Schizosaccharomyces pombe: one gene and its partners. The gene in region 1 interacts genetically with each later gene. Each region holds a gene or a part of one and is shown in the gene's direction. Other genes may lie near its edges. The genes, in order: sod1, crr1, alg5 and car1.

The links.
Region 2: mutations in sod1 (region 1) and crr1 together harm fitness less than expected from each alone (positive genetic interaction), as found in Schizosaccharomyces pombe (one large-scale study listed by BioGRID).
Region 3: mutations in sod1 (region 1) and alg5 together harm fitness less than expected from each alone (positive genetic interaction), as found in Schizosaccharomyces pombe (one large-scale study listed by BioGRID).
Region 4: mutations in sod1 (region 1) and car1 together harm fitness less than expected from each alone (positive genetic interaction), as found in Schizosaccharomyces pombe (one large-scale study listed by BioGRID).

Annotation. Positions count from the first base shown.
Region 1 is NC_003424.3:1,002,322-1,005,248, reverse strand, and holds sod1 (superoxide dismutase Sod1), read left to right. Parts: upstream 1-1,648; 5' UTR 1,649-1,785; coding exon 1,786-2,250; 3' UTR 2,251-2,411; downstream 2,412-2,927. UniProt on the Schizosaccharomyces pombe protein: Destroys radicals which are normally produced within the cells and which are toxic to biological systems.
Region 2 is NC_003423.3:1,656,553-1,660,828, reverse strand, and holds crr1 (glycosyl hydrolase family Crr1), read left to right. Parts: upstream 1-1,752; 5' UTR 1,753-2,383; coding exon 2,384-3,643; 3' UTR 3,644-3,772; downstream 3,773-4,276. Other genes in the region: SPOM_SPBC21B10.08C (uncharacterized protein), read right to left, coding at 4,052-4,276.
Region 3 is NC_003423.3:4,090,351-4,094,275, forward strand, and holds alg5 (dolichyl-phosphate beta-glucosyltransferase Alg5), read left to right. Parts: upstream 1-1,806; 5' UTR 1,807-1,977; coding exon 1,978-2,034; exon of another isoform or gene 2,035-2,189; coding exon 2,190-3,101; 3' UTR 3,102-3,402; downstream 3,403-3,925. Other genes in the region: homoserine O-acetyltransferase Met6, read right to left, coding at 1-476.
Region 4 is NC_003423.3:323,395-327,160, reverse strand, and holds car1 (arginase Car1), read left to right. Parts: upstream 1-1,930; 5' UTR 1,931-1,998; coding exon 1,999-2,970; 3' UTR 2,971-3,217; downstream 3,218-3,766.

The DNA of each region.
Region 1 (2,927 bases):
GTAAGCTACGCAGTTTGGTATCTGATTTAAGGATACGAAGAACTGCGGTGAGTTTTCCTTGTGGTCTATTATATTACAATACACAGGTTGTATAAGTAGCAACTGAGTATAGGTATTGTATTAACTGGGCTATAATGTTACCTATCACTAATATAGCTCATAACTGAACTGAGGAACGAGGTTCAGTTGTAACGCTATTTATAATATTTCTAAATAGTTGTTATCAACGGGTATCTATGTATATAGACGGATAGTTACCCGTGATTATCAATAAACGGATCTTAGCTAGTATTCCAACATATGACATATAGTGATACGCAACGTAGTGTATCATAGCGTAGTGTAGTATTGCTGACATATCGTAATGTACCCAATTACGGTAGAATGATTAAGAGAATTGTATTTAGGAATATACCGCCTTTAGTATTATGCGAAACGCTATTTTTTGTAATGAGCCATTTCTTTCGCGCACTAGCAAAATAGTCTCATATTGCTACTTCACGAATAGCAAAAATAAGTCATATAAAATAAGTAGCTCAAGGTAATTACTGTTTTCGGCATAATACTTTATACATCTTGGCAAATTTCTTATATAAACAGCGTCCCCCTCAGAGAACTTTTTCTGTTTTCTACCAAAATAATATGTAGGTAGATCGATGGATAGAAGCGATTAACGTATTTGCAAAACAGATCATCAGGATTTTTTTTAACTCCAAAATAACCATAGTGTCACTCGCTTCCTAGTACAAAGCATTACTATGGTTATGTTATTTTATTTTTTAAAAGCTCAATGATATTATCAGCAGTTGTACTTGCGATTCTTTCTCAAAAATGCATACTGAGAGGTTTGTTCATTATGGGAAAATTATGAGTTCACGAATATTTCTTTCTAGAGCGAATTTTATTATCCTCCTCACGTCGATTGAAGCTTCATAACAATTTGACTGTTACAAGCGATTGCTCCTAACAACTTCCGTGAACGAACGGGCTTTGCAAGTCTACCGACCGGCCTTAGGCTCTTCACACCTAGACTCAAAACGCTAATCTATATACATGTAGGACTTTTATTCTGCGAACTCTAGTGGGATTTACTGAACCAAATGGGGGTTTGATATTTTAGCTAGTCTATGCATTTGAATCTCTATGCAATGTTTGTCTACTCAAGTTTCCCTTTCTTTGAAGATCTTTACCCCCATTAGCGACCTTACTTCAACGTGGTCATTCTTACCTTACGCTAAATGTTTTAACGTCTACGAAAACGAGAACGACGATTGCTATTACCGCAACTTTAGATATCGTTATTTATTCTTCGAGTGGCGCGTTATCATCTTTAGCGGAATTTCAATTCCGCGAAGGAGCACGTAATATGATTACGAATACTGGTGGAGTAAGCCAACGCCAAGCTGAGGTGATGCTCGGCGTAGCTTATTGGCCTATTTTGGAGGCTCGAAGGCACGGACTAGACAATGCTTTGTAAAGCAAATTTGTTAAATCGATAAGTATAAAGACAATTTCTTCGTTTTTAGAATATAAAAAAACATTGGTCATATCGAAAAATTGATTTGAGTTGATATCGTTAAAATTTCATGTATATTCCGCGTGGAGCTATTTACTATATAAGCGATGACACGCCGCCCTATCCTCTTCCAATTCCAAACAAAATTTTCGAAATCTCCAACTTTGAAGTGTGGTTAAAATCTTATTGATTTTCCTTCAAAACACTTAATTACTCAAAACACCCCTTCTCTTGTTGTATTTTTTTAAAGTAAATTATCGTCATACAAAATGGTTAGAGCTGTAGCAGTTCTTCGTGGTGACTCTAAGGTCAGTGGTGTCGTTACTTTTGAACAAGTCGATCAAAACTCTCAAGTTTCTGTGATTGTGGATCTCGTTGGCAATGACGCTAATGCCAAGCGTGGTTTCCATATTCACCAATTCGGTGATAATACCAACGGTTGTACCTCTGCTGGTCCTCACTTTAACCCAGAGGGTAAGACTCACGGTGACCGTACCGCCGCTGTTCGTCACGTTGGTGATCTTGGTAACTTGGAAAGCGATGCTCAGGGCAACATCAAGACTACTTTCTCTGATTCTGTTATCTCATTGTTTGGTGCCAACAGCATCATTGGCCGTACCATTGTCATTCATGCCGGTGAGGATGATCTTGGTAAGGGTACTAGTGAAGAGTCTTTGAAGACTGGTAACGCTGGTGCACGTAACGCTTGTGGTGTCATTGGTATTGCCGTCTAAATTTATTGAGTTTTTACGTCTTTTTGTTCAAATGGCTGTGGGTTTAGGTGTTGGTTAGTATTGTTATCATTTAGTTGAGTGATCTCAAATTTCTTTTTTTTTATGAAAAGTTCCGTATATTATGCTTCTATAGGTTCTGTATTAAAAAACTTAATTTAATTGATGATGATAAGTACTGTAGCTTTGTGGAAGCTGTTTGTTACTATTATGTTATATGTGTAAAAAAATGTAGTGATGTATTTTTGTCCTTAAGACTCTGCGTTCGAGTTTACATAAAATTCAGTTAATTAGAAGGAATTGTTGTAACTTTGTTTCGGTATTGATAATGAAGAAGCAAAAGCAGCAACAATTTTTGATCTTTTAGTCAGAAAACTTTGTTTTGCATCGTTGAGTTCGTGCATAAAGATGATAGAAAGTGCTTTTCGTATTGTTTAAAAAAAGATATATAGAATGTTGATTAATAGATACACACATAGTAGCAATATCAACACATCTTGTTAAAATTCTAATGGGTGAAGCCTTTTTTTTTATTAATCATAATACCATCGTTTCATCTTTGTTGATTTTGTTATTACTTTTACGTATCAATGAATTTTTACGAACTAATTTCAACTAAACAATAACGACAGGCAAGTTTGTGTAAACTGAAAACATCTGCACAAGTTGTATTTTAAAAT
Region 2 (4,276 bases), on another chromosome or scaffold:
CTTGCGACACCCTGATAGACAGGAATTTTTTATACAGATGTAATGACAAACAATATGCTTTAAGCAGCAACTTAATTGTAGTTTAAAATCATATAGAAATACTTAAAATCAATGAGGGTTTGCACTTCAGGATAATGGTAAATGAAAATCACACTTCACGAAAATAAAACGCGTAAACCGTTAATCTTCAAAACTAAATAATACCGCTCAAATTACGCTGTTTTTCCGCTAATGTTCATAAGGGAAATGTTTGAATTCCGTAAAACTGTTAAGGATGCGCAGGGTGATGGTAAAAGATTTGATAGTATATGTTTATTTTGCAGAAATATTCGCCTTGACTATATACAAAGTACTTTTATAAACTAAATAGTGTTAGAAAAGTATAAAGAGAAGCTTCGATAGAAAATTATTTCAAGGTTAAAATGAATAACTCGTTGCATCAAATTAGTTTGAGGTGAAAGGAAGGATATGATTCGTAGAACTGCTAATTCTTCCTGAGAATGGTAAATGAACGGAAAGCGATTTTTGCAGTTTGAACACGATTTGATACATGAGAGCAATACAGTAATATTGTATATACAGATGGAGATAAGATTTGGTTGCGATTTAAATGGCAATGAAATAAAGATCTAATAAGATAACCATTAGTAAATTCTTAGCGAACCATGCTTTCCCACCTGCTAGTAGAAGATGTTTGCAATTCAGTAAACAAAGGTTATGAAAGTCACCAGTATAGCTAAATTAACAAAGTTAGCTGATCAATAATATTGAAATCTCATTAAATTACGATGATAATCTGTCTCTTCAATGAAATAAAAACTTAACACTGTGTAGATATTACGACGGCATGCAAAGAAACTGGAAACAGAGACAAGATATAGAGTTTACTAAAGTATTCAACCTATTCAGCGAATTTTAACAAATTCTTTTTCAATTTAGTGAGTTTACTTTTCAACAATTTTACAATTCATCAGTGAACTCTATACTTTTAAATCATTTGCAGTGAATGAAAATAGATCATGGATAATACTCGTACTTCGTTTTGTCTCATGATAATTTAAATACAAAAAGTTGACTTACAGTAGATAAACGTTAATCTACATAATAAATCATTGATGCAGGTTCAAATACTTCTTTCCCCTTCCAATGAATGAAGAAATCCTTTTGTGCTTTAGCCGCACTCAAGTGAAAAAACTCAGGGAAAAGAAAATAAAACGAAGAAAATGGTGATCTTCTTGTTGACGATTTCCTTGGCAAATTAATAAAACTATGCAAAGCGATTTATTAGTTACATGTATACACTAAGGCCATTGCACTATTGGACACGAGGGATCAACATGCCTTGCCTTTTTGGCAATACAATCACATTGCACTCTTTATGAATGTCGTCTACACAATATAAACATATTAACGATTTGCATTGAAATGTCATGTTATGATCAAATTATAATCTTATGCATGCCGCTTCAGATAATGGCTGGTAAAAATTATTATAAAGAGTTATTTGTTTAATAAATAACAATGCAAGAATTAATTACAACACACTGAGACAAGAATTCTCTGTTTATTTTTATAAATTTTTTTATCTATAAAAGAAGTATAATCGCTTTTAAACTCTTGCTTAATGCTGCCGGTTTGATCGGTATTATAACTAATTGACCGAGAACATATGACGAATAGTGAGAATTACTGTAGCGTAACATTTACTAGCAGTAAGCTTCCTTCATAGAATTTTTCAAAAGCACAATCGTGGATTCTCCCACTTACGTGAACGGATTTTGTCTTTTAGTATAAGCCACAATTTCTGGTATCCGCATTCGCAGCCATCATTTCTCAGACATATATTTGCTTTAAGAAGACCCAGTATTTGGCTGCATTAGTATATAATCGCATTTACATGTAAAATCTTGCCTAGTCAGTAAGATTACAGAATCGTTCTTTTAGAGAGGCTGATTTCATAAGTCTGTGTATGTGCGTGTCTATATACTGAAATATATAAATACACTTATAATTAAAGCTGGTTGGCTTTTTATCCTTTCTTTGTATATCACTGCATATTTTTTGTCCATATTATAAACTCCCTATCTATCGTCTTTCGATAATAATTATTTTCATTTTAAACCGCATTTCTCATCTCTACAAAGCATTATCCCATATTTCCCTTTTTTATTCCCCTTTAACAAGATATCCTTGAGTTTGGTTATTTTTACTAGCATTTTATTTCCATTTCTGAACTTGGTGCATAGCTCACCAGATTGGCATTTTTTTATTTGATCGTGTCTCATTACTTCCCGCTCTTTTTATTCTTATCTTTTCTTTCTTTTTGATTTTTCTCGCCCTTCTTTAATTTGTTGAAATTTGATTAACTTTTATTACTTTTGCAATGGGTATTCCTGATTCCACTACAGATTCACGCCATAGTCTCTCATCTGCTGCGTTGTCCTCTGCTAGCTTTGAGAATATTTACGACCCGGCACGCAAGAACGAGTCAACTAATGATGTTATCGACAATCATACAGACACTGAAATTGATGATCACGATAATGACCATGAAAACCTTGATAGCAATAATAATAACGAAAACAATGAAGCCTTTAACGAAAAGGCTGCAGAGAAAAAGTTATTGCCTTGGTACCGACGTTACTTTATTTGGATATTAATTTTTATAGTCGCTTTAATTTGTAGTGTTCTCATTGGTGTCTTGGGTGGTGTCTTGGGACATCGTACCGCTGTACGAGATCGCCATCCTTCTTACAAAGCTAAAACATATAGCCTTGTTAAAGAATATAAAGGCACCACATTCTTCGACGGCTTTGATTTTATGAACATTACTGATCCCACCCATGGCTTCGTACAATACCTTGACCGTAACAGCAGTGCTAAGCTTGGTCTAATTAGCGCGAATAGTTCCAACGTCATTATGGCCGCCGATAGTAAGCACAATTATAGCAGTGGTCGCCCTTCTATTCGTCTTCAGAGTACCCAGTACTTTGAACATGGACTCTTTATTTTGGATCTTATACACTTGCCTTATGGTTGCGGCACATGGCCCGCATTTTGGACTCTTGGTGATGACTGGCCCAATGGTGGTGAAATTGATATCGTTGAAGGTGTCAACGTGGGTACTAGTAATCAAGTCACTTTGCATACAGGTGACGGTTGTGAAATGGAAGATATCAAGCGAGTTATGACTGGTACTGCATTACAAACTAATTGTTGGGTTGATGCTCCAAACTCGTATAATGCTGGCTGTGGTGTTGAAAATCCTAGTGGTCCTTCTTATGGTGAAGCTTTCAACAAAAATGGAGGCGGTGTATTTGTTCTTGATTGGCGTAGTGAAGGTATTCGATCGTGGTTTTTTAATCGTTCTGAAATTCCATCTGACATTACTTCTGGTTCTCCCCAACCTGCTAAATGGAGTGAACCCGTAGCTGACTTTCCAGATACCAAATGCGATATCGACAAAATGTTTTCAAAGCAAAAAATATTATTTGATTTGACATTTTGTGGTGATTGGGCAGGTTCTTCAGTTTATTCATCAGCAGGATGCCCCGGTTCGTGCAACGACTTTGTTGGTAATAATCCTCATAATTTTACTGAAGCATACTGGAATATCAAAAGCTTGGCCGTTTATCAATACTAAACCCCCTTCTTTTTTCTTTTTGATGAATTTTCTTGATTATATAGGCATAACATTAACATTGCATGCGTGATATCATCTCGATATATTGTGTGTAAATAAAATACATTTTGATTAGAACTTGAAGTAGAGAAACATTTTTTCGCATGTGTTTAGCAAAATGCGTAAAATAGTAATAAGCCTAAGTTTTGTCTGAAATTATGCGAGCTTGAATTTTTTAATAACTTGTGTTCTAATGCCATCGTTTACAAAGTAAATTTCGGTCTTAAAATTTCAATAAATTCACTACGCTAATTGATTAATAATATAGGGTTTAGGAATATTCATATAAGGTACTCTTCAGAAATATCAAAAGGTTTGGGATTCGTATATGTTGTAAAAACGTTTGTTCATTTCTGTTGCAAAATACATCTAAGGGCGGTTTAAGAAACCAACGCCAGAATAAATCACTTGCTGAGAAACAGAAGTAGCACCAGAAATTTCAGCAGGACCAGGCTCAATACCACTCTTGGAGTATCTGGTAACGACAGCATATAGGCTAGGATCATCCAAGGAATGAATAATCAAACTTGTGTCAGCTTTAGGATTAACGGTGAGCTGTTGCTTAAGAGTAGCAGAATCGCCAGTATATTCGGT
Region 3 (3,925 bases), on another chromosome or scaffold:
GCCATAGCAATTTGCTTTACACCCAATCTTTGTAAAATAAGTTTATGGATGTTTACATCATCACGTATGGTTGCTAAAGGAAATTCTGGCCCATAAACACTATGAGTCTCAGCGTTCCATGTAACAGGAGAGGCGCTTCCGTATGGGCTACCAAGAGAATTAAGGCATACGATAAAGAAATGTGATGGATCAAACGCACGACCAGGACCGAGTAAAGGACCCCACCAATCTCCAGCATCAGCAGAACCACTTAAAGCATGACAAAGAAGAAGACAATTGTTTCCTTCTTTATTCAAAGTACCCCAAGTCTTGAAGGCAACGGGAACATCGTAAAGGATGTCGCCACACTCCAACGTAAATTTGGGAACAATTGCAATTTTTTGATCTGAAATAAGCTGAACAAATTTATTTTCTTGCTGAGACGGATGACAGGAGTCAGTAAAGACAATTGATTCAATCGGAGATTGAGATTCCATTTTTATCAAACGATTGATAGTCAAATTTTGAAAAAATGAAAGAAACTAAATTTTTTGATAGAACTGAGTTCTCAAAGATGTAACTAACAAAACTCAATGGTAGGAGTTTTAAATAACCAAAAAAAAATTTTTTGACAAAAGCAGATTAGTGTAAGGTTTAACACAAAGAATGAATTACTTGCTTTTGTGTTGAGTAAGCAAATACAATTAGCTTCTCTTCTTTTAAGCGTGAAAAACAAAAAATCGAAAAACCAGAAAGTTTTTACGAAAAAAAACCAAAACTAACGGTATTGCGCAGCAATAAAAATTTTAGGTTTTTTAGTACCAGGAACGGTAAGCAACTATATTTGCTAATTTGTTAAATTCCAAAGTTACCCAAAAACACTTGAATACCAAGATTTTTTTTCCTATTCGGTTATGGTGAAAGGAGAAGTGGTAAGTTTATAAACTTTTATCTCAACCTAATTTAACGGTCTGCTTAGTATTTTGTTAGACAACATTAATTGAACGGTAATCAATAACCGAGTTTGGTATACGGGTACTTCATAATATGCTATTCAAACAACGAGACTTTTTTGTTATCTTATATAAATATAACAGTTTTAACCGTAATTTCAGTAAAATCATGTATGAAAAGGATGAATTTATTAAAAAAATTACAAAGGCTAATGTTTTATAAAAAGTCATTTCATGGATCAGGACTCTGCGAGATCAACTTTCGAAGATAAACGAATCGATAAGGAAAAGGTGTAATAATGTTAAATAAACAGGCGCTTGGTCTAAATAATGATTACTTGCTAGTTTCCTTAAATTTACAATTAATTGACTTGAAGCCAATTTTAAACAAGTGTTTTCAACGTTAAGTGTTTTAGTTTATCAATTTACAAATGAAGGAATACTCAAGACATATTTTATGACCCAGCCAAACCTGTAGTTCATCCTATTCAAAAAGGTTAAGGCAATTGAACAACTTGCGCCCTTAATACTAAGTAGCCGTAAGATATATCATACGATGTTCCATGAAAAAATATTTATATCCACGCAGAATTACAGTCATGTAAGTTTTTTAGGAAAGAGTAAAGGCACCTATTCTTTTAATACAATGTCTCCCAAATAGTCAAAATAATTATATAATTATAACAAGTATGCTTGACTTTTGTGATCTATCAGAAGTTGAGCAACAATGAGAGTCTATTGTAATCGATATGTCTATGCTTAATTGCTTGTAAAAGTAGACATTTTAAGTTGTTGACTGCTACTCACCAACTCGTACTAAAAAATTCGTCTGCTATGACTAAACGATTACTGTTGTCCAGTCCAGTCGGCAGTTAGCCAGAGCCAAACACAAATAATCCCACCGCATGCTTTGTAACTGCAAAAGCTCGGATTTCATTAAAAAATAGCTTAGAGTATAAACGGAGTGGAGTAATTTTTTTTTTGAATGAGTTATTTCTTCCAATATCATAAATCTTAACCCTTCTGCTTTTTGCATAGTTACGACATGGTAGTATACATCGTTTTATACACCTGCCTTGCGGGATTTATCCTTTTGTTCTTGGTAAGCAATATTAGCTAGCATGCTTCTCATTCATGTCCACCCGTCGGTAAATAAGGTCGTTGCGGGCAGAACCTGTTTAGTTTATCTGTACTTTCGATTTTTTGATGTGACATTAGACCAAATTTTTCCCCGAATATTCATTAACCCAAATATAGGTTTACTATTATTTAACTCATTCTCATTGCCCGAGGAAGCAACTGGAAGGAGAGGAAACATGTGTATTCATTGAGAACGGTCAAAAAAAAAGTTTGACTCTTGAGAAGTGGAGCACTTCTGATAATATACAAATAACGGTCATTGTTCCCGCGTATAATGAGTCTAAACGAATCGGAAACATGCTCCAAGAGACAGTCGATCACTTGGAAAAATATTATCGTTCCTCTTCTTCAGCAGGACAACGTCGGTGGGAGATCCTTATAGTTGACGACGAGAGTAAGGATACGACGGTGAATGCAGTGCTAGAGTTTTCTAACAAACTGGATTTGCGGGATCATTTACGAGTTTGCTCACTCAAACGGAATCGTGGTAAAGGCGGTGCGGTAACTTGGGGCATGTTGTACGCTAGAGGTCAATATGCAATTTTTGCTGATGCAGATGGTGCTTCTCAATTTTCTGATTTGGAGCTCCTTTTTAAAAATATGCCACCCGGACCAAGGGGTGGTGTCGTTGTTGGCTCGCGTGCTCATATGGTGAACACGGCTGCAGTAGTAAAGCGCTCATTTATTAGGAACTTTTTGATGCACTGTTTTCACAAACTTTTACAAATCTTAGGGATCAGGGAGATTGGCGATACGCAATGTGGCTTCAAGCTTTTTTCTCGTGAGGCATATCAAAGTATTTTCCCTCGTATGCATGTTGAAGGATGGATTTTTGATATTGAAGTATTAACACTTGCTCGTTTTTTCGGTTTACCTATCATTGAAGTTCCCATTACTTGGCATGAAGTTGGCGGTAGTAAAATGACTCTCTTGAAAGACAGTATTTCAATGGCAATCGATTTGTTGGTAATTCGGTTGAACTATACATTTGGTATATGGGAAAGGCCCTCGGCTAAGCGTATTACTTAATTGGACGTATTGTTGTGGATGTTATTGTTCATTATACATTTTTCCTGAGATATAATTAAATTATGAGAGATACATAAGAATTTTTAGGCGGTTCGTTTCCTATTACTCTTTGTTCCTTTTTTATTGATTGTTTTATCTCCAAGCGGAATATTCTATCTTTGAGTAAGCGATTTTCTACTTGCTCGATTTTTTTTCAATGTTGTAAATACTTCTCATTTCCCCATATATGTACTTATGACGTTCTTTTTATGAAAAATTACTTGACTAATAAATTTACTAATTAAATTCTTTTTAATATTCACAGTTCGTGGTAGTAAGGAACATAATAGATGTATTGTTATTATTACGCAGCTGTTAGTTTTCAACCGAGTCTCTAGCCAAAACTCAACTTTTTTGTATATATGCAACCACAAGAACATATTTACCTAGGTTTGGTTTTCAACGTTGTTGCGTGTGTATCCGTCTATATTTATTGTAAAGTCAGCATCAATAAATCTTAGCAAGATGAAACTAAATAATTTTCATAACATGAAGTACGAAACAGAAAAATAGTTCCGTCCATTTAAACTTCAGCATTAGCAATAGTAAATTAAATGGTTTACCTACCCATTATTCAACTTGCCATAGCAAATTTGAATACAGCGCTATTGCGTATAGCTTCTTTAAAAAAATATAGCACTATCTAGCGTGATAAAAATATAATGAGTTATACTGCAAATGAGATTTTTTGATTTTATCAGTGAGACAACGCAGTATAATTATCAGCAGTAATAAAACCGAAATCAAGATAATCAGAGCGATTACAATTTTCTTTTTTCAACTAC
Region 4 (3,766 bases), on another chromosome or scaffold:
GGTTCAAAAATCTCTAGATACTGGTTTCTATCATACCGAACAATGTGGAAATGCTTACTGCAAATTTGTCTTCTAAACAATGAATCGTTGTCATGAGAATACTCGTTTATGACACAATTGCAGCGTGTTATTCGATTTTTTACTTGTTTTTGTGCACGGCATGTAGACCGTGTTCAGCATGTCTAGATCATGTAGTGTCAATTTTGATAGATCGGTTGACATTTCAATAAAAATATGGACATGACGGTATACAACACAATAGATCATTTTTTTATTTAGTGTTGATCAGTAATCTAGTGATATATTTATTTAGCTAGATCATAACCCTAATTTTTTCTATATTTTCATTACCCTTTCGGTTTTTTATGAAATTATGATGGTTTGATACATATTTGCAATTACAATATATACTGCTAATACTTAAATAAATCACGTTGCTCCCGTGGCCTAATGGCTAGGGCATTTGACTTCTAATCAAGGGATTGTGGGTTCGAGTCCCGCCGGGAGCTTTACGTTTTTTGTTTTTCGATCAGTTACTAATTGTTTGAATTTTCTTAATTTGAATGATGAACTTATTATAACAGATTTTAATAACTTGAAATCCTGAGGATGAAAATAAACATTAAATACTTTTCACCTAATAGTTGCCAAACGCATATGGGTGATAATAATCTAGTTATATCCATGCTATCCACGGCGGATTAATGACCGAAATTAAGTCTCACCCTTTTTCAAATTATTGCTAAAAGAAGCATGCTTTCCTTTGATCATCATAAGCATTGTTTACTCGTTGAACAAAAAAAAAACTAAAAAATATAAAAATCGATTCCAATACAAAATCAAAAATTTAATCGATGCATCAACCGGGAGTCGAACCCGGAGCTAATGCTTGGAAGGCATTGATGTTACCGCTACACCACTGATGCGTTACTGAGAGAGATAATTAAGTTGCAAAATTTATACCTTAAAAATTATTACAAATTAAGGAAATCGAGCAGAGGTCAGCAGCACACCAGTAGAAATTATAAATTTTGTTATTTTTAATAAAAACATAGTTAAACTTGACAAAAAGATATATACATTTTCCTTAAACTGATAACATTACAACACCTTTTAGCACAACGTCAATTATAGCTTTAATAGCTTCTTAAACTCGCTTGCTAATCTTGGCGATATTGTTGCTAGTTAAATTAATTTTTATCCTTTACTCATTTAAAAACCAACATTTTTATATTCCTCCTATACCAATGTTACAATAATCGTTACAAAATATTCAATCAATTTAATAAATTTTTTTATTTCTTTTTCTTTTTCTTTTTTGGTTACAATGTTCAAAAAATATAAGTTATTCATCAGATATTCTCCATATTAAACTTGTAAATACAAAACAAACTACCGTCTGAATAAAATTTCATCTATCATGCTATAATACAATACAATTCCGAAAATAAGTCACTTGACCCATGGAATTCCGTAGCTTAGTTTCGATCTTTTCCGTTCCATGGTAAATATGACTTGTTTCAAAAAATGGCTATGGAAAATATTCCCAGAGGGGTTGGGTGTATATTATGATTTTACGTCCTATTTCTATTAATTTTCCATAGTGTGATTTTTTCCTTTCTTGAATTACTTTATTTTTATTTAATTTATTTTCTTTGCTTTATTTCATTTCGTTTGATTTATTTTATTTATTTATTTATTTTTTTTTTTAATAATAGTGAACCGAGCTATCGTTACGGAGTATAGAAATGTTGAGTCCGTGGAATTAATATCCCGTTTTTAGGTTGATGAGTCTAATATGATTGCCCGCAAGATCTGATAACGGCCGGTAGATAAAATACTCAAAGACTATTGAGTAAGCAAACGCTCACTATTTATTAAAGCCGTCATCGGCATGAAAAACGGAATTCCATAAATTTCGCAACCTCCCATCTACTTCAAAGGGTCCTTTGCTATACACAACATCGTTTCTACCTGACTGAATCAAAAATATATACAATGTCTCCTCATAAAATACCCGAAGTACATAGACATATTATGTCTAGTAGATACATGGAGGGAAATGCCGTCTCTATCATAAATATGCCATTTTCAGGCGGTCAACCCAAGGACGGTGCTGAATTGGCTCCAGAAATGATTGAGGCGGCTGGATTGCCTGAAGACTTGGAGCGTCTTGGTTATAGTGTCAACGTCGTTCAAAATCCCAAATTTAAAAGTCGACCTTTAAAAGAAGGCCCTAATCAAGCCCTCATGAAAAACCCACTCTACGTTAGCAATGTTACTCGCCAAGTTCGTAATATTGTTCAACAGGAACTAGAGAAGCAAAGGATCGCGGTCAACATTGGAGGAGATCATTCACTTGCCATTGGCACTGTTGAAGGTGTACAAGCTGTCTACGATGATGCTTGTGTCTTGTGGATTGATGCCCATGCTGATATTAATACCCCCGATTCATCCCCTTCAAAGAATCTTCATGGCTGCCCATTGTCCTTTTCCTTGGGATATGCCGAACCTCTTCCTGAAGAGTTTGCTTGGACAAGAAGAGTAATTGAAGAGCGTCGTCTTGCGTTCATCGGTTTGCGCGATTTGGATCCTATGGAACGTGCTTTTCTTCGTGAACGCAGCATCACTGCTTACACTATGCACGATGTTGATAAATATGGAATAGCCAGAGTAGTAGAAATGGCATTGGAACACATCAATCCAGGAAGGAGACGTCCCATTCATCTTTCTTTTGACGTCGATGCCTGTGATCCAATTGTCGCTCCAGCTACTGGAACCCGTGTGCCAGGCGGTTTGACCTTTCGTGAAGCAATGTACATTTGTGAAAGTGTTGCAGAAACTGGCTCTCTAGTTGCTGTTGATGTTATGGAAGTTAACCCACTTTTAGGCAACAAAGAGGAAGCCAAGACAACTGTGGATTTAGCTCGCTCTATTGTTCGAACTTGTCTTGGTCAAACGTTATTGTAGAACCATGTATTTTATGCTATATCATGAATTAGAAGTATGTTACGCGTCGGATTAGCTACTGTGCTTTTTCAACGTCCCAACACACAAGTATATTAATAAACTCAAAATCTCATAATTCAGACACTGTACCGACAAACTTGGGCAAAGTTACTGTTTGGTTCTCAGATACTTGACTAGACTATTTAAGAAAGAATTTTACTTTTTCACATGAATTGAATTGCTTAGGTGCTAAGAACCCGAAATGTATGCTTTAGACTGTTGACTAAATATTATAATTATGACCAATATTAACTTTCAATTAAGTAATTCTTTTACTACTCTTTCAATTAAACTGATGGTCTTTTAGTACATTTATGAAGCGTCAAAATATTTTTTTACCAACCATAAACCGTTTTTTTCCTCCTTGTAATTCAAATTTTTCATAATGTCTTAACAAAAATGAAATTTTCTATTCGAATTTTCCCACTAATTGAAATTTAAAATTTGAACCCCAATACCATTACCATAATATTAAAAAAAATAACTTTGAGGTACTAATAGTTTCTGTCAGCGCTAGCTAATGAACGAGAAAAATAACTGTAAAAAAAAAAATATTGTCAATTTCCATCATACAACGAAAAAAAGATAACCATCGTCCTTATTTTTGATACCTTTTTAGATTTTTCCTCCGTGGTAAGAATTAATAATTTGTTTTTCTTTCACTTTCACCCACGGATGCATAACAGCCATCGTTTGTATCTTATCTATTTTTGCTTATATACTTGACAAGTGCGACGAGCCATCAATCCGAAAAAAG